4 linked regions of the Arabidopsis thaliana genome follow. The protein of the gene in region 2 interacts with the protein of the main gene of each other region in a pairwise test. Each region holds a gene or a part of one and is shown on either strand. Other genes may lie near its edges.

Region 1 (4,697 bases), 1.8 Mb from region 2:
AATCTTGAACTTCCCCTAAAAACTTTGGAAATATCTTACTGATATAAAGAGTTGGCTTAGTGAAAGTTAAAAAAAAAAAAACATTTTCTTTATGGCAGACGGGAGGGTACACAGTTGCAAATATGATATGGGATCTGATGCTAGCTCGGAATATTCTACCAACACTAGCTGCTGTTGAAGCTTACTACAAGGGCTTGAAAGTAATAAAAAACCTTTTTCTTATTTGACCACAAACTTTCTTTCTCTTGGTATTAGTTATTGATGGTTTTTGTGGTGTGGTAATCATAGGAACGCGAAATACCAGAGGATGATCCGAGACTGATGTTAGTGACGCGAACATACAATAACTTGCGGCTTAGGGAAGGGACATTACCTAATAGGCGTTAAAGCAAAGGGACCAAGAGGAAGAAAGATGGTATCATGGCTTCTTCGTTTTCTACTTCTATTTGCTTATTGGGATCTCTGTGAACCATCTGGGTATTTTAAAACCAGTTCGTTTAGATGAATAAGGAAATTTCACCTAGATGATGACTGGATATTATTCTGATTTGATTTCAATTACTTAACCTTGAGAGCTTCATACAAAGCGACAACGTTTTAAATAAGCCAACGCCTGTTTGGTTTATAAAGATCAGCCTGTTCACTCTTAAATGCACCCGTTTGGTTTTTTGATAAAAGACAATCTGGGAAAAAGAGAAAAAAAGAAAGAAAGAAAGAGAAACTATACATTCTGGTGTATCCATTTGCAGAGGTAAATAGAAGCAATAGTAGTTTCTGAATCACCAGATTACAGCAGATATGTGACACCTCTCTCGAGGATTTTTTAACCACAACAGCCACCTCCCTGAGAGATCGTACCATCTCTTCCTCCAGCTGCACCTTGAGTACGCCCGTAACCAATCTTGATACCTGATGACTGCAAAATTTAGAGAGACCAAGGGAATTGAATCACATTGTAACACAATCGAGGGATTAGAGAACACCAGAAGACTAAGTATATTGCCAGATTCAACAAGGAAATTACCTCGTTGGATACATCAAAGACACCATCCTGAATGTTCTGGAGGATCTTGGCAGCAGTCTCTATGAAGGCCTGTTGGAATCCAGAAAAAGAAGACAAAAGTCTCCATGTGATTACAGCCAAATAACAGGATGGGGAAAAAGAGTTGCAAGGAAGAAATGTCACCTCCTCAACGTTTTGAGCAGTTCTTGCAGATGCTTCTAAGAATAGCAGGCCATGTTCTTTGGCAAACTGTTGACCTTCCTCTTTGCTAACAGCTCTCTTGTGAGCAAGATCACATTTGTTCCCAATCAGCATAATACTCATGTTAGGATTTGCATGTTGCCGAGCATCCTCCAACCAGCTTGCCAGATGGTTAAACGTCTCTCTCCTGCAACCCAAAGAACCAAGAATTTTGAGCTTCAGAAAGATCAAAGCATGAAAAACCTCAATGATAAAACTCTTGCAATTCTTCATGTCCTTCATAACTTTCAAAATTCCAAAACAATGGAGGAAAAATATCTATTTTAGCAAGAATTTAAGATGGATGGTTAACTTAACATCCTCCCAAACAAGCATTGCCAATATTATAGCCAAGGATTTTGTTCAGATAAAAGTAACTTCCCAATTTCCAAAACCTTTCCAACAGTCTAGGTTTATCAAATCACAAATACAGAACCAATCACTTCCAAAACCTTGCTGGGGAATTCAGAAGTTCGAGCTGATATATATTGTCGCAAGGCAAAAACTAACCTGGTGATGTCATAAACCAGTAAAGCTCCGGCTGCTCCTCTGTAGTATGATCTGGTGATGGATCTAAAAGATTCTTGTCCAGCCTAAAAAATATCATACGAAACTTTAATCAGAAAGCACAACTCCAACACATACATCATCTAATGGAAGAACTATTGACCAGAAGAAATCACAACAAGGAATGCACTGGTGAACTCAGCTTCTATTACAATAAGCCTATGAAACTTAATCAAGAACCGTGCAATGATTAACTTTTTTGAAATTTTACCCCACTTTGAGTCTCTGGACATGATTTTCAAACATAATTTTTGGTATTGGCAATTCTAATGAGGCATTGTTTATATAAAAACGAAGAAATTGAATTGATTATGACAATTAATCTTCTTAATCACATCCTGCCTTAGGGAGAAAAAAAAAACAATCCTAATCGATAAAACGTGATTAGTTCCCTGATGACCTAATTACGACCAAGAGAAGAGAGAGGAAGCGTACGGTGTCCCAAATTTGGAGTTTGATGGGGCGTCCATCGACGGTGACCATCCGAGCACCGAACTCAACACCAATGGTGAGATCGTGGACTGGTTGGAACCTCTTATCAGTAAATTGCAGAAGCAGACACGATTTTCCCACACCTGAAACGACAAAAAAAACAACAACGAAAACACATGAAAATCGGCACGAAATGGATTTAACCCAGAAAAATAAAACAATTGGGAATTAAGAAAGGTGAAAGATCGGTCTCTCACCTGTGTCTCCGATGATTATGTACTTGAAGAGATAATCGTAAGACATGGTTGATGAATTTGAGCAAGGTCGATGATGAATTAGCGCAGGTCGATGGGTTCGAGAGAAGGAGATGTGAAAGAGAGGAAGAAGAGATTGAAGAGTACAAGTCACCGACGTGCTTTTTGATTTCGAGGTTTCTCGATGAAGAAGCTATCTTCTCCTTCTCATCTTTTATAATCTTTTTACTTAATTACTAAAATTAAAGGGATCTAATGACGAATTATCTGAATAATTGTTTTTCTTTTGTATCCTTAAGTTTCAACAGTAAATAAAAATCCACACAAAATACTCTATAGTATAATTTATTAATTATTATAGTCGTTTTAGTTAATTATTTAAAAACAGAGGGACCAGATGAAAAATATCTGGGAAACAAATTAAAGCTTAAAATCCATCTCTGCCTTTGGCTCCGTCCACTCTGACTCGACTAGTGCATCATCCATTGTTGGGCATTTGATAGTTTAAAGTGGGCTTTTTTATTTTTTTATAATGTGGGCTTTTTTCTTTGATGTTGAATGGCTTGGTTAGTGGATTTCGAGACCAGCATAAGTTTCTTTTTTCTATTCATCTGAAGCATGGCGCAGTCCATAATCGCTAAATTGATGATACAAAAGAACTTGCACATCAAAACTGTGAACTTACCAGAAATTTGCATTAGCAAAAGCTTCTTTTATTATATGATGGGGAATACACACGTACCTTGATACAAGGCTACTAATATCAATTGTGTCCGGATTATCACGGTAGTATGCTCTGTTTCATATCTCTTATGGAAATTACATAACTGTGTTTAAGATGAATGTTCTAGTGGGAAGATAAGAAGAACTCAAATCCTACATTAGAGATGAGTTCCTTACAAATGCTTATAGTCTACAATGGCAAATTCGAGAAGCAAATTCGAAACAGAGTTCCATCCATTAGAGAACAGGGGATGTTATTTCATCCCAAACTCAAACCGATCTTAGTTATGTTATTTCGTATTTTTTTGGGTATTTTACCTTCAAATTATTTGATTAATTTCATGCTTTAAGGAGAATTTGATTAAAATGAATATACAAGAGTTATGAATTTGATTATATTCTCTTATTCTACTAATCACGAAATATTTAGAGAATATGTAATTATCGTTTAAAGAACTATCGTTTTATTCATAAAAACTCTGTAAATTACCAATTTGATATACTTCTATCAAATTATTTATATTTTTTAGTTGTGTTAATTCGTTTTTTTTGGGTGTATTTATCTTAAAAAGATGGGATTAAATTTCATGATTTAAGGAGAAGAATCTTTTGAGAGATTCGAAACCGCGATAGCATTCCTTGTTCCTCCTTTTCTATTTACCTTTCTACTTTTGCCATCATCTTCGTCGATCTACTTCCCCCAAAGTCTAACCCTAAAGCCCCCAAATTTCTCCTGATCAAAACCTTGTTGTATAAATCCTGAATCTCTGAAGAAACTTCGAAGATTTGGGTTTCTCAATTTGGTTGAGAAATTCGCGATGAATCGCAATTTTTCACCAGCTGCGATGCCACCGATTTCATCAATGACAATAGATAATTCATTCTCTCCTCCTCCATCTTCCGGCGACTTACCTGAAATCCCAGATGCTTGGTACGGCAACATTCAGTATCTGCTTAATATCTCGGTCATTGGTCTCTTATGCTGCGTCTCCATCTTTCTCTTCGTTAAGCTACGCAGCGACCACCGTCGTATGCCTGGTCCTTCTGCTCTCTTCTCTAAGCTCCTCGCCGTTTGGAAAGCCACGTGTCGCGAGATCGCTCGTCACTGTGGTGCTGATGCTGCTCAGTTTCTTTTAATTGAAGGTGGAAGCTTTGTGCTTCTTTTCTCCATTGCTGTTTTAGCTGTTTCGGTTATGCTTCCGTTGAATTTATATGCTGGGACTGCTTTGTTGAGTGATGAGCTTTCGAAAACGATGATTACGCATATTCAGAAAGGTTCAGCTTTGCTTTGGCTGCATTTTGTGTTTGTTGTTATTGTTGTTGTTATCTCGCATTTTGGAATCGCTGCTATTGAAGCTAGGTTGAAGTTTACTAGGTTTAGAGATGGGAATGGGAATATCAGTGACCCGAACGCGAATTCTACTGCTGTGTTTACTATAATGGTGCAGGGTTTGCCTAAGAATTTAGGGTCTGATAGA
Region 2 (6,382 bases):
CAGTTAAACCATTTCTTGCGGCATTCATCTCAAAGGCGGAGTGATAGATGTTACCGTTTGGAGATGGATCTGGCATAATCATATCTACTTCCATCTCAGTGAATCTTTTCCATTTAACCTTCGTTCTCATTGCCTTTTCTTGCTCGTTGGGGTTCGCCATTTTATTTTTGCACCAAGTTGCTGTGACTTTGGGGTGTTAGAGGAAGTGGAAGTGGCGATGTTTATAAACAAGAAAATCAAGTGGAAGTAGAAACGTTAAAGTGCCTTTAAGATAGATACATGCTTCTTTCTTGACTCAAATCGAGTCCCAAGACTTGTTGTTGGCCTCTCGACTACTGTATCTAGTTAAGATGAATTGTTAGTACCAATATCTCTCTTAATTATCTCTTCCACGTTTTGTGTTTTTCAAGGTTAGCTAAAACTTTCTGGTGAATTTTTAAAGAGACCAAGAGTTCATTTTGTAAGAAAGTAATTTGAGGAAAATAAAGAATAATTCTAGAGTTTGATGGAATTATAAGAAATTATGAATTAAGCATAAAGATAAGTTGCAAAAGAAAGAGTTCGAATGAAATTAAAGATATCGCAATATATATCCACGTAAAATAGAAAAATACACTAAAATACAACCAAGCTTTTGCTAGAATTTCTCTAGTAATGTCTAATCTTCTGTGTAAAAATGCTGAAATAAATTGTCCAAAACAATACAAAATAATAAAGGAAAGAAGTCAACACTTGTGCACAACGAGCCTCTAAAAACCCATCAGACACCAACTCGAGACTTTCCCTTCATTCAACAAGCAACCTGTCCGGTGAGCTAGCTGACTTTAGAACAGTCCAACAACAATGGCGTTTTAACCTCGTGACCTGGAGCGATTAAGAAGCAACAGATTAAGAAACGACAATGAAGCACCTAATGTTATGTGGCATCAGATACTCAAAACCACATTCCATAATCTGAGTATGGTTCTGTTACTAACACTACATATTTGTTTATTTTCACACTAACTAGACTACATGATTTCCTCTGAGGCTGGAAGCTAGAAAACTCGTAACTACAATGCTTTTAAGAGAGGAGATGTTCCTTAGTGTGGCTAATGTCAAGCAAAAGTTAAACGTGAGAGTGTACCTCGACTATTTTGAGAGCGTGGAACAATGAATATCACTTGTCAGTGTGAGCCCTTTTGGCCTTACGACGACCATGGTGATGAGGGTGTTTAACAGGTTTCTTTGTCTTTGTGCTGCGATAAACAATAATATGAGATATTTTTATGATTAAGAATATTACATAAAATGACTAAATGGATTACTTAAAAGACTTGCCAGAAGAGAGAAGAGAGCACTCTGTAAGCAACGAAGATGGGAAATACCAACAATGCAGAGGCCTGCAGTGCATAGATTTTAGATTTGAAGTTAGAGAGGAAACAAATAAAGGATGCATTCTCAGAATACGTTCTAGAAGAAAGTAAGGCAAAATACCGCAAACCAAACAAACTCATTGGTAGCAAAAGGCTCCGTCAGCTCATGGCTTTTCAGTTTTCGTTCAACATGGGCTTGGACCTTCACAGACAAACACAGATTTTAGCTTTACAAGTCGAGCATACTTTTTGATGAGTCCGAGAAGTGGAATAACTCAGATTTATTTTTAGTATACATTAGCAGGATTTTGGTTTCAGACCTGATTGTGATAAGTTGTGGCGGATTCAAGGAACTCTGTATAGACGATGATCACCTTGGTTGTGTAAGGTTTCATGGCAACCTTCATTTTATCAACATGTGGTTTCGTGGTCGTGGCCACTTGGTCGACATATGGCTTGCTGAACTTTTTGGCCTCCTGGAAATTGTAACAGGCATAAAGTTTACATCCGTAAATACTAGTTGATTAATTGTGTACCAAACCTATCAGTGAAAAAATAAACTGAAAAAGACACTATACCTGATAATAGGGGTCTACAAATTCTTGAACCGTGACAATGTGAGGGGAAACAGCACTCTTTGATGAATGGTAAGCCTCTTTAGCTTTGATGGATAGTGTTCGGAAGTGTGGCTCAACATGTATAGTAACGGTTTCCTTGATGGCTGGAATATATTTCTGCAAGTAGTGTCATAAGACATAGTAATATGAGCCAATTATAACTCTAGAGATTTGTGATTCACCAAAAATGCAGGCATTCCATTAATGTCAAAGAAATTTACTACAAAAAAAATTGCCAATAAGATGCTTACAGTTTTAACGTTTTCGACATGTGGTTCAGCCCACTTTTCAGCTTGAGCTTTTGCTTCCGTCACCTACTCAATAATAAGTAAACTTCATTAGCCAGATGCTCTCATACTGTTTAGAGGCATAAATCTCAATAGGAGTATAGGACAAAAGTTAAACAGTACCTTTAGAATTACTGTCTCCACAGCAGGTTTCCCATGGGCCTCCCAATGTGTCTCGGTATAAGTCTATAGGTACATGAAATTCCCTATGTTAATTGGGGGGGATAACTACTATGTTGTAAAACTGTAAAAAGGCCAGCATAAACCTTACCTGAAATTTAAACCAGTGAACAGCAAGCCAAGGGGGAAGCCACGAACCATGAGCCTGAGTAAATAAAACAATTGACATTAGCTTTCTGCCGACTTCCAGATTCCAGGCTCCGCTAATTTCCCACACAATGAAAATCTAATGCTATAATAGCATCAGAGAAAGCCAAATGTAAAACTGTGTCAAACTAATACCTCTAGCAGTTCCTTCGCCTTTGTGGTTGCTTCGAGCTTTGTCCTCAACATTTCTTCCTGAAATTTAAAATTTAGAAAAAAACTATATGTGAGGCAAATCTACTTTAATAAGAGGTTACTGTACCTCAGCTATCTTAATAGCACGTTCAAGTTTTCCTATTTTGTTCTTCTGCTCTTCATTTGTCTTCTGAAGCTGCAAGACATCAGATACTATAATTAAATGTCTCAGGACATTACTATAAGAATTGGTTCAACCAAAAGTACATATCCATAAAAGGGACCATAAAAGCATGGTCGATGGTATAGTAAGAAGGAGGGAAAGTTCTGATGGTATAATAAGACTGCATAACGAAACTCTGTTCTATATAATTCTCATACAACTCAAGATCGAATTAAGATCAAACACGAGTATCAAATCATCCAAGGAGCTGTCCTAATGAGAACTAATATAGCTGAGAACGGAAATTGCAATGCTAATAACATAGCATAAATGACGAGGCTTAGAACATGAAGATATTTTGACCTCAACCTTAAACAAAGTCTAGCTAAAGCTGAGATAAAAAAAAACGTAACTAAGCATTTACCATGTCCCTTAGAGAAAAAACAAATGAAATGGTGTAATGCAAAAAATGAAACGAGGGATGTAAACAAATATACTTTGTCAAGGCTCGAGTTAAGTTCCCTTAGTTTTTTCTCAGCTTCATTAGTCCGAGCTTCAGTGGAATCTTTCTCCTTGTTTTTTTGCTCCAAGAAGTTCTTGAGAACCTCAACCTAAACGACAGTAGTAGGATCGCAAAAATCAGATAACCGTTTGCAAATTCTAACCATATAAATAGATTGAGTTTTTGAACTTAAAAATTTCACCTGCTTCTCTAATTCATCAGCTCGTGCTTGAGCCTTTCCCAACTGTTTTGCAGAATCTGATGATCCCTTTTTCTGGAGATGAGTGAAAACACACAGATCAGATTTAAGCCAAACATGTCAAAAAGATTAGAAATTTTTTATCACAAGTTCCAAAAAAAAGTAGATGAAACTGAAACCATATAAGATCCATACCTGTAGTGATGAGACTTCAGTCTGCAAGGAAGCAATCTTGTCTTCCCTTTCTTTGAGTAGTTTCTCCTTCTCTGCTACTACCTCGTCTTTGCCCTGAACTTCCCGGGTTTTCTCATCGATTTGAGATTCTTCAAAACAAAACAAAAACAAAACATAAAGCTCAAACCCCAAAATTTGCATTCACCAAATAATCAAGCTATAACAAGCTCGAATCAGAACGGATTAGGCATTTCACAAATTCCACAAAACCATAGCAAGCAATTCGACATTGGGAACAAGTTAATACGATTCATATCTGAAATCGATCCAAAAGCTACTAATTTAAGTCAATGCTATAAGAACAGAGAAACACATCAAGTAGCTGAAACGGTAATTCTATCAGCGTCAGACCAATAACATGCGAACTCTGCAGATTCCGATTTCAAATACGAATCAAAGTCGAATAAAAATCAAAACTTCGCAATCATTCGATCAGATGGAAGAGTCTGAACAATGCAAGTCGGTAACTAACCTAGGGCACGGATCTTGGCATTAAGCTGATCCAGGTGGATCTTGGAAGAGCCATCGGATCCGGCAGCCTCAGAAACCTCCGGCTCATCAGCATCGGCGAAGACGCTGGTGGTGAAAAGCAAGGCAAGAAGTAACAAAGCGACGAGCTTCGCAGCCGCCATGTCTAAGATTCACCACCGTCGATCAACAAAAAGGGACGGAGATTCCAACGAACAAGAGAAACGTTTCCTCTCTGCTCTCTCACGATCTCTCTGTATATTTATGAAGGTGTGTTTTTGACCATGGACCGTAGAAATTTCTTAACCAGTAGGAAAAAAAGAAACAGCGTGCCAAGACGAGAGAGAGAGAGATAGATGGTACTAAACGTGAGGTAAATGGCTTCGTGGGTATGTCGTGACCGACGATGACACGCGGCATCCATCGGATCCACTTTTGTATTTTCACATTAATGACGTGGCGTAAATCCAATGGTTGATCCTTTTTGGGTAAAATATGACAACCAATTAACCAGTCGATATTATTATTATTGTCCTTTTTCGAAAGCAATTCAATCAGATCATCAAATTAATGACATTCATCTACTTGCCTGCTAACTAATCGTGGAGTACTAATTTTACTATATCCAGATTAAACCATTAGATATTCGATGCACCATTTAATTTCTCGTTAACTAAGCAACTTCTATTCTGAATTTTTCGATACTCGTTTTTTTAATTGCCTGAGAGCTAAGAATCTTTGTTTTTCTCTCCAAACAACACCGGCACGTTAACAATTTTATAAGTACGTATTATGTTATTACTATGCTTGATCCAACACAATTTGCCCTAATTTAAAAAGAATTTATGTAAAGGTTGGAATCACGATTCGCGATAGCTAAATCTATACGATTAATTGATTGGATCACAGAATCATGACAAATAAGTACCGCTGGATTATCAGAGATGTGTCTGGTCTATCGTTTGCTTTATGGCATTAACCAATTTATAATACTAGTTTTAACAAGACAAAAGTATAATTAATTAGCAACTACTCAATAATAATTATATGTACGTGGTACGTGGAGTTTGCCAACTCAAACCAGAAGCAATGACATTAACGTAATTCATCTTTTCATTAATTATAATCTCCGGTGTATAAAGCAAGGCCTAGTTGAAAATGCATATACTGATAATATTGAAAATGTATATTATTAATATACTCCAAAGTTCTCCAACGTTGCGGTCTCATCAAATCATCAGCCTCACAAATGTTTTGTTCTTCTCTAAGTTTCCCAAAAAAAAAAAAAAGGGGATGAAGTTCGATTATAGTCTATGATTCACAGGTGTTCAAAAAAAGGACAGAAAAAAGTCTCATTAAACCCAAAAAAAAAAAAGATTATAGTTTATGATTTCTTATAAGTTATATATTAGTAAAAAAGAATTACAGGTGAGTAAATGATCAAACACAAAACAGTCCAGTGATCTTCCAAACTTGATGTTGTATTTGAGTTTTGTTAAATCATTACAGAGATGTCTATCATCGTAATCCTTCGCTTTGAGCTCCTACTTCAATTCTTCAAAAGTGCAAATGCCTTCATCATCTCTTGACATTTATTTTTATAAAAAGGCTTGAAGAAAAAGAGAAAAATATCACATGCCTAACAGGCCACAGTTTATAATTTTATTAGATTTAGGCCCACTTAAGGACAGCCCATGGTACTTTTGCCAACAGTTTAATTGGCTATCTCTATGATATATCTCTGGCTATCTCGTTGTTAAATGGTCAGTAGCTATTATCCATGAAATTTGTGTATCAACGGATAGTCACGAGTAAGTTATTTAGCAACTGTCGTTTAGCTATTTAGCTACGTACGAAACTAAAGTTTTAACTACGAAAATTTTCATCACTAAAATTGTATTTGTTTGTAGCATGAAATAGCTTTTTGTTTACCTAATCTAAACCAAAATTGAAAATATATATATGAAAAATAGAGTTAGTTAACATACAATGATACAATTTTAATCTAGGCGAACATGGGCTTCAGAACTAGATTCGGATATAATTAGCTAACATCATAATCTGAATTGTCATCTCTAAACGAGTTCTAAACAGTTTG
Region 3 (4,504 bases), on a different chromosome or scaffold from region 2:
CATGAAGAGATTCGAAGGAAGCTGGCAAGTAAAGCCTTTGTTTGTGGATGAACATATGTGCGATCGTTTGAAACCGAAAACGCTGGAGGAGTATAACAGGTGCACTGGAGGTAAAGGGAGGATCGGATCTAAGGTAACGCTGGACCAGCTAATACAGCCAGCGATTGTTCCACCTCCGCCCATTTCTTGGTATCTCAGAGGAATCACGGCTAAGACGACAGAGATGCTTATCCATGACTTGTTGGCTGAGACCGCCAGGATCCGTGCAGCTGGAGTAATGGAGGATGGTCACTCGCCCGATGAGCAACGGATTGGCACACCTGGAGATATAAAAGAAAGATGGTCTGCACATAGAAGAACATCAAGGAGACGACGCAATGATTTGTGTTAAGTCACAGACTCACACAGTCCATGATTCTGGGATAATAGATATCTTGAGGATTTTTGGATCACCCAGCAATATGTGAACATAATATAATATTTGTTTTCATAAGATACACTGGCATATAAATGTGGGAATCTATTCCTTGTTGAAGAAGTTTACAACCATGACTCAATGACTCATGACCATTACAACCATGACTCAATGACCAATAGTGATATGAATTTTCAAATATACAAAATTTCTAATTCATTTATTTTGGTAAAGAAAGAAAGATATTTCTGTGATGAAAACGATGCAGACGTGAAAATAGGATACGCAAAAACAAGAAAGCAAAACAATCAATCATATTAATCCAGGCACAATACACGAAAGCTATTTAAAAGGGTTCTTCTAGTAAATTTTTAGGTACAAGACCATCTACTTGCACAATAAGAAACATTCACATACCCAAAAAAGCAAAAAGGTTCAGATAATATTTATAATCTCTCTTGCATCAAGACAGAGAGAGATCCCAACACAGCAGACAGAATCATCTCGATGCAACGCAATTTCTCCCTCATCATGCCTGTGCAAGAAGAGCAACACGAGGTAAAGATATAAGCATCGCAGAATAAAAAGAAACCAGCTCGTTAGATTTGTGTGTTTTTGAAGAAACTTATGTAGTTATGTTACCTTGCCAGCGATGTTGTTGGAGAGCCAGTCCAGACCTTCATAAAGCCCTTCACCTGAAGTGGCACATGTGCTCTGGATATACCTGTAGCGAGCAAAAACACACATCAGTATCGAACAGAAATTGTTTGACTTTTGAAACTTATAAGGATGTTTATTTACCAATGACGCTGACGGAGGGAGTGAAGGCCAAGCTTATCTGTGATTTCAGCAGCGTTCATAGCATTTGGAAGATCTTGCTTGTTGGCAAACACAAGCAACACAGCATCACGCAGCTCGTCCTGCAATAAAAGAGTTGGTAAGTAAAGGATTTTCAAACTAACAAAACTATGAAGAAGAACTCTTTCTCTATAGCACTGGATATTTACCTCATTCAGCATCCTGTGGAGTTCATCTCGAGCCTCAACAACTCTGTCTCTGTCATTGCTATCAACAACAAAGATTAGACCTTGAGTGTTCTGGAAGTAGTGTCTCCACAAGGGACGGATCTGAAAAAGAAGCCAAAAAGTCAGTTTATTTGGGTGAAAAGTTCCTTCATCAAACAATAAGCAGTACAGAGACTCCATACCTTGTCCTGACCCCCGACATCCCACACGGTGAAACTAATGTTCTTGTATTCCACAGTTTCCACATTGAAACCTGTTGATAGAATTTAGCATATCACTAATCGATCCTAGATTTTATACCATCATCACAATTTAAAAACCAGTACTAAGGTGTGAAGCTTCTTTACCAATAGTAGGGATGGTGGTGACAATCTCTCCGAGCTTGAGCTTGTACAAGATTGTGGTCTTACCAGCAGCATCAAGACCAACCATCAGAATTCGCATCTCCTTCTTGGCAAAAAGCCTGCTAAACAGCTTGGCGAAACTCAACCCCATTTTGCTTCACTGCAAACAAACACAACAAAGTCTAATATCAAAAACCTCATACACATTCTATATCACGCGATTTTCATCTCAGAAATCCTAAATTATGCATCTATAATGCCAAATTCAATTCTTATATCCTCTAAGAACCTGATCAATACCAAAATCGTCACTCACAAACATCAAATTTCAACGAGATCAGGCCGATCCAAACAGAGAATCAAACGTCCCGAGATATCATAATCTCTCTGATACAGATCTTCAACATCTCAGAAGCTATCAGATACAATCACAACGACGGAAAACGAAAGTGAATAGAAAATTCAACAGATCCACACTATCAGATCGTAATCAGAAACGTCGACATATATACACATCTTAAAAATAAAATCGCATTATCCATTCATGAGCAAGATCAACCTCAACGAAATCAATCACGACGATTCCAAAACCATCAAAATTCACAAGAAACGAGAAATGCAGAACACATACAGATCTACGCTAAATTGAGAATGTATGAGCACAGATCTTAGATCAAAGCGTACCTACGAAGAATGTTTCGGAGAGATCTGAGAGAGAGAGACCGCGAAGAAACGGAGAGAGCGAGAGAGACTCGAAGAAATTTGAAAGAGAAATGTGAGAGAAGCTTAAGAGAAACGCGATGACGCCGAAATGGGAAGTGGTGGAGAGCAATTTTATAAGGGAGAGGGGTACCGGTTTATTCGTCGTTTCTCACGCCAATTAACGAAATTGCCATTTGTAATTGACGGAATTACCCTCTTCGAATCTTCTATGACCAAGTGTGCAGGTGTTCGCGAGCTAACCAATTAAAACTTAACACGTGAGCAATACTCTTTTCTTAAGTGCTACTTCATCTCCAGTGAAAATTTCGTTATTTGTTGATGTTGTCTGACCAATAAGAAATCGTCATTTCAATCAATTTTGATAAATTTTATAATTATTAAAATAATTTTAATATATATAATATGATTACATATCTACATCTATTAATGATATTTTTAATGAAATTTTGTTTGTCTGGTTTGGTTAACTTTGGGAAACGTTAGCCACAAAATCATTTAAAAGATTTATTTTCAAAATGATAAAATTAATCAATTGAGAGACAATTCCGGTTTAGTATTAGCTTAAAAATTTAAACATTTGGGTCTGGTTTTGCTGCCAACCCTTAACGATCATAACAAAACATAGAGAGATGAGCAAATGCTACAAACTACCAAATAAGCATTCATTTTTTATACAAAAATATTAATCTTTACCTTAATTATAATCAATTTATAAACACTACAATGCTTTTCAATCTCATTGTATATGCTTCATTAACAAGCTATATATATAAGGTCAGTTGCTAAAGATGAATTACAACTAAATATAACGTGCACATTCCTCACTACAACGACCGTCAAAATATGTGATCACCTTAAAGCTCATCATGAGCATTTTCAGTTTCTTTTTCGACCATAATAGTTTCTGCCAAATACTGATCAGTTTGGTTTAAGCTCTTGTCGTCATGCGAATACAGACAATCCGCAGAAGGATGAACTACACCATAACCAAACCCTTCAGCAGAGTTACAATATGCTTCTACTTTTCCATCATTGCCTTCCAAGTTGATATTGTTGAGGACAATGTGGCTGCAAGGGACTGCGTCACTACACTTGAAGTTGATGGCTTTTGAGCTTTTCGTGGTTCCGGTTATGTTCCTGTACATTATCTCGGATATGTGAACCGCCGATGTCTGCAAAGAAATAGGAATCAAAAGATTAAGTTTCTTTCTTGAGGTTTGTTGATAAGTCAATGGTTATGTGAAAGAATTAAAACCTGGTTTTGACAAGTTGATGGTGAATCACAGTAGAATTGATCGATTATAATCGGATTCGCAACGTCCTGCATCACTACGTTCTCGAAACGTACACCCTTTACGTAACCATTACCACCCTGTTTTAAAGAGTTTCATCTTTCAATCAATCCTGAAAACTCTTTGGAAGGAAAGCAAAGATCAATAGAATTGAGATTTTACCTGCCATGTCTTGATTCTTAGACCATTAGTTGTGTTCTTTAAGAACGCAGTTTCCAACACAACTGCAGTGACGGTTCCTTTCGAATGTCCTTGTCCAAGACTTCCAATACTACAGAACAAGAAATTATTTGCAATCAATAATAATATATGTGTCTCATTTCTTTTTATGGTTAGAGATGGTTTACCTGATTCCATGTCCTGGTCCACAGTAGATCCTCTTCATCTTTATCTTGGCGCTTCCATTCACAATCGAGACACAATCATCTCCTGTTTTCAAGTTGAAGTGTCAGCTATAACATTTTGAGTTTAATATTATAATTACCATGATAGTGTTTTGAGTTAAATAGAAGTTTTTGGTGAAGAACCTGTGCTGATTTTACTGTCTTGGACTACAACATCGGTAGATGCGGTTATATGAATTCCATCAGTGTTGGGACTGTCTCCTGGAGATGTGACCATAACTCTAGAGATTCGAACTGTAGTTGACCGTTGTATGATCAAGTGCATCTGTTGGCTGTTCCGGATAGTTAAGCCTCTCACATA
Region 4 (3,365 bases), on a different chromosome or scaffold from region 2:
AATAAGTGGATACTTGTCTTGTTCAATCGTTTCATTAGGGGGATTAAAACAGCATTCTACTGTGTGTTTCTGCATCTAGCTTGATTAAAAAACAATTGATTTATGCAGGAAAAGTGTGAAAATCTAGAGGATGCAGGGAACGAGTTGATCCTTGCTGATGAGGAGATGGTGCGTTTTCAAATAGGAGAAGTGTTTGCTCATGTGCCGAGGGACGACGTAGAAACAAAGATAGAAGAGATGAAAGAAGCGACCTGCAAAAGCCTTGAGAAACTCGAGCAAGAGAAGGAATCAATTGTAACACAAATGGCAGCGCTGAAGAAGGTATTGTATGCTAAGTTCAAAGATTCTATCAATCTTGAAGAAGACTAGTTAGTAGTTATTCCCAACTTTGTTTTTCTTCTATTGCATCAGTTTATGATTCTACTGTGAGTGTAGACCAAAGGATTCTTGAATTTAACATACTGGTTTTGTTCATTATGAAATTTCATCTGGTTAATGCATACTTTTCTTTTTCTATCGGAAATTATGTTTTTGGCAATTCTATAAAATACCATAACACCAATTTGTTTTTTCCCAGAATTTGTATACATTCAAACAAAATGAAACACACACGCCAAAATATAAATACAAGAATCTTTGGGAAATCCAAAATACAAAGCCCTAAATTGATTCCCTTAGCTTCTTCAATCAAAAACCCAAGAAATTACGAGTAATTCTCCAAACCGGTTTACTCAAATTGGGGTATAACTCGACGGTGGCCGGTTACCAGAACCGGCAGACACCAGGCCACCACGGCGAGCACTTTCTTCATCAAGAAACAAATCATCGGTATTACGAAAAGCGCCGTGAGCTCCGACGATGAGCAAACCAATGATCAGCGAAACCAGAACGTTTTCGCCCACATCTGTATATACCAATGCCAAAACCGTTACCAAGCTGAGTAAAACCAGCACGATCTTGTCATCTACTTCTTTCCCCGAAATCACAATCGAATCGTTTGCGTCTCGAGAGAAATAGAGAAGAATCCATCCGATGAAGACGACGATGAAAGCGATCATAGACATCGGATGGTAAATAAGGCCGAGGAAAACAATGGCGAGAACGGCGAGAGCGTAATTTCCACGGAAATAAGAGATGTTGTGCTTTAGATGCGCCATGGCTTCATCATACCCGCGAGGGAGAGAGAGCGCGGACAGATCGAGAATCTCTCGCCATGGACGGAGCGTCGTGATCATCGATTGCGTCGTCTGCTTGGCGCGTGCACTCAACGTCCCGATGATTGTGGTGTTGGAAGTGGAAGAAGGACCGACTCCTCCACCACCAGCGCCGCCATAACCGTACGGCGGAGGTTTCTGATTCATCGGAATTGGTTGATTTTGTGTTTGAAAATAACACAAATCTGTGGTCAAATGGCAAAACCTTGGATTTCAAAGAGTCCATGTGGAATATGGGATGATGGGAGGGACTTGTTCGGTGATTATTATTTTCTTTTGGGACCTTGTAGTTTTTTTATTATTACAAATAAACCATAAACAAATCAACTTTTACCGATCGCCTCTATTTCCACATAATCATGAATCGTCATAGTTTTTGTAAAATTACAGAATTGTGATGGATCTAAGTCTTCTAATGATATTTTTGTTTTTGCTGATCTTCTAATCTTTAATCGCTAGAGAAGAGATATCGTTATTAATGGATAAAAAATATGTTGAAATCTTTCGAACCAATAGGTTCTCTTTAGTGAGTATCTGACTGAATAAAAAATACCAACATTTCACGTCGGTAGGCTTCTTAGTGATGCCTGAATTATACAGAAGAAATTGACCGCCAATTTTCATATATACAAGAAAAAAAAAAAACAAGTAGAAGCTTCTTCATCATCATTTATCTCTTTGCTTTGGTTTCGATTGGTTTAGGTCTAGGAGAAGAGACTGAGCCACCACCACCACCAAGTGCTGCAGCTGCTGACTCCACATGTGTGAGCAGATACTCGTAGATCTTCTTCCGTAATCGATCGATTGTTTCCTTAGAGACTTCTTGTAACCCTTCTTCATCCTCTTTCGATCCAATCTCGTCTAACCAATCATTCACACTCTTCAGCTGAGACAGCATCCCCGCAATCTGCCCATTATCAGACAGACTGAGACTGGATGATGTAATCACGTCAGCGTCTAAGAATCTCTCTACGAAACCCAAAAACCAATCTTGTGAAACCATTTGCAACTTCTCTGCCAGATCAGTTGCCTCGTTTAGACCATTCCCTTTCACCCAGTTTAACGGTGGAGACTCTGACCCTGCTACCGAGGTGGCTTTCTGGCTGCTACTGTTCTCCCTGTGTTTACGGATCATTCCTTGTGCTACGAGTTTAGATCCAATCGTTGGCTTGTTTTGAATATTCCCACGGGTTTTACTAGAGGAATTATTACCCGGGCTCTCGAGTATGATCACGGGTTTGCTCCTGGAGGCAGCAAGTTTGGCTTGTTTGCTGGAGTAGACAGAGAAGGGCGATAAGTTAGTGACTAACGCAGCTTGGACCCATGAGGCTGCCAATTTCTGCTTTTCCGATGCCGCTTTTATAGCTTCCTCGGATCTGTTTTCTTCATTATCTGGGGAGGACATCAAAGAGAGTAATTTGGACAATGACTCTGTTATTACTTGGACGTTTTTCAAACCGGAATGGAGCTTCAAGAACTGCTCAACGACTGGCAATGGATCATCTTCCTTCGCCGTTGACAAAAGATCGGAGTACATACTACAAAAAGGAAAAGCAGAACAAAGTTCAGAAACCACCAAGGCAGTAACAATAACATTCAGATACAAAAAACATTTATGTTTTGTCCCTCAAACATCCAAAGCCGGCCTGAATAAAACTTGGTTAAGATATTACGCACATGAGGCACTGAAGTAAGCTCTCGGAAGCAGAGGCTTCTTGCAGGGCCTCTATTGCGACTACTTGAGCAGCTTCTCTATGCCTCAATACTTCCTGCAAATATTGATAGCAGCAATGACTCAATAAGCTGTCTTAATATTTAATCACGATGTCAAAGACCAAAACATAAGATGCATATGCTATACTAAGAGGTTCTCTTCAATCACCAGAGTAAATATGTTAGTTTGGATGATCGAATTTCTAAACTGCTTGTTTTGAAGATGAATTTTCTTAATCACTAGAAATGCTTCAAAGCCTATTAATGAAGCAAGCACATATAAGGATCCAAGAGCAGTCAAGGCCATACCTGTCCCATCCTCGAAAGAGATGGAGGGAGTGAACTCCATTGGATATTGGCCGCCGCTAATCTTTTACCATTAACAGAGACTTTGACCAAATTCCCAGGCAATCCATTCTCTGCAACAGATTTCTTCTC

Evidence for each region.
Region 1: the proteins of AT4G31340 (region 2) and GB2 interact in a protein complementation assay, tested with the Arabidopsis thaliana proteins (one large-scale study listed by BioGRID).
Region 3: the proteins of AT4G31340 (region 2) and ARFA1D interact in a protein complementation assay, tested with the Arabidopsis thaliana proteins (one large-scale study listed by BioGRID).
Region 4: the proteins of AT4G31340 (region 2) and PRA1.E interact in a protein complementation assay, tested with the Arabidopsis thaliana proteins (one large-scale study listed by BioGRID).

The regions. Positions count from the first base shown.
Region 1 is NC_003075.7:16,986,295-16,990,991, forward strand, and holds GB2 (GTP-binding 2), read right to left. Parts: upstream 2,754-4,697; 5' UTR 2,546-2,753; coding exon 2,500-2,545; exon of another isoform or gene 2,386-2,499; coding exon 2,246-2,385; intron 1,837-2,245; coding exon 1,754-1,836; intron 1,392-1,753; coding exon 1,187-1,391; intron 1,094-1,186; coding exon 1,025-1,093; intron 917-1,024; coding exon 824-916; 3' UTR 546-823; downstream 1-545. Other genes in the region: AT4G35850 (Pentatricopeptide repeat (PPR) superfamily protein), read left to right, coding at 99-200, 289-387; AT4G35870 (early-responsive to dehydration stress protein (ERD4)), read left to right, coding at 4,038-4,697. UniProt on the Arabidopsis thaliana protein: Intracellular vesicle trafficking and protein transport.
Region 2 is NC_003075.7:15,203,728-15,210,109, reverse strand, and holds AT4G31340 (myosin heavy chain-like protein), read right to left. Parts: upstream 4,674-6,382; 5' UTR 4,449-4,673; coding exon 4,289-4,448; intron 3,906-4,288; coding exon 3,778-3,905; intron 3,658-3,777; coding exon 3,586-3,657; intron 3,493-3,585; coding exon 3,379-3,492; intron 2,915-3,378; coding exon 2,846-2,914; intron 2,779-2,845; coding exon 2,722-2,778; intron 2,585-2,721; coding exon 2,531-2,584; intron 2,446-2,530; coding exon 2,383-2,445; intron 2,287-2,382; coding exon 2,224-2,286; intron 2,090-2,223; coding exon 1,934-2,089; intron 1,832-1,933; coding exon 1,676-1,831; intron 1,558-1,675; coding exon 1,477-1,557; intron 1,383-1,476; coding exon 1,321-1,382; coding exon of another isoform or gene 1,317-1,320; intron 1,239-1,316; coding exon 1,160-1,238; 3' UTR 1,127-1,159; intron 865-1,126; 3' UTR 506-864; downstream 1-505.
Region 3 is NC_003070.9:26,563,218-26,567,721, forward strand, and holds ARFA1D (Ras-related small GTP-binding family protein), read right to left. Parts: upstream 2,595-4,504; 5' UTR 2,469-2,594; exon of another isoform or gene 1,945-2,468; 5' UTR 1,936-1,944; coding exon 1,788-1,935; intron 1,694-1,787; coding exon 1,623-1,693; intron 1,543-1,622; coding exon 1,423-1,542; intron 1,336-1,422; coding exon 1,217-1,335; intron 1,140-1,216; coding exon 1,058-1,139; intron 951-1,057; coding exon 945-950; 3' UTR 501-944; downstream 1-500. Other genes in the region: AT1G70480 (OBP32pep, putative (DUF220)), read left to right, coding at 1-391; AT1G70500 (Pectin lyase-like superfamily protein), read right to left, coding at 3,362-3,679, 3,763-3,879, 3,962-4,070, 4,147-4,228, 4,327-4,504. UniProt on the Arabidopsis thaliana protein: GTP-binding protein involved in protein trafficking; may modulate vesicle budding and uncoating within the Golgi apparatus.
Region 4 is NC_003070.9:2,806,929-2,810,293, reverse strand, and holds PRA1.E (prenylated RAB acceptor 1.E), read right to left. Parts: upstream 1,535-3,365; 5' UTR 1,362-1,534; coding exon 732-1,361; 3' UTR 519-731; downstream 1-518. Other genes in the region: AIP3 (ABI3-interacting protein 3), read left to right, coding at 109-369; AT1G08760 (GPI-anchored adhesin-like protein, putative (DUF936)), read right to left, coding at 1,885-2,752, 2,892-2,983, 3,237-3,365. UniProt on the Arabidopsis thaliana protein: May be involved in both secretory and endocytic intracellular trafficking in the endosomal/prevacuolar compartments.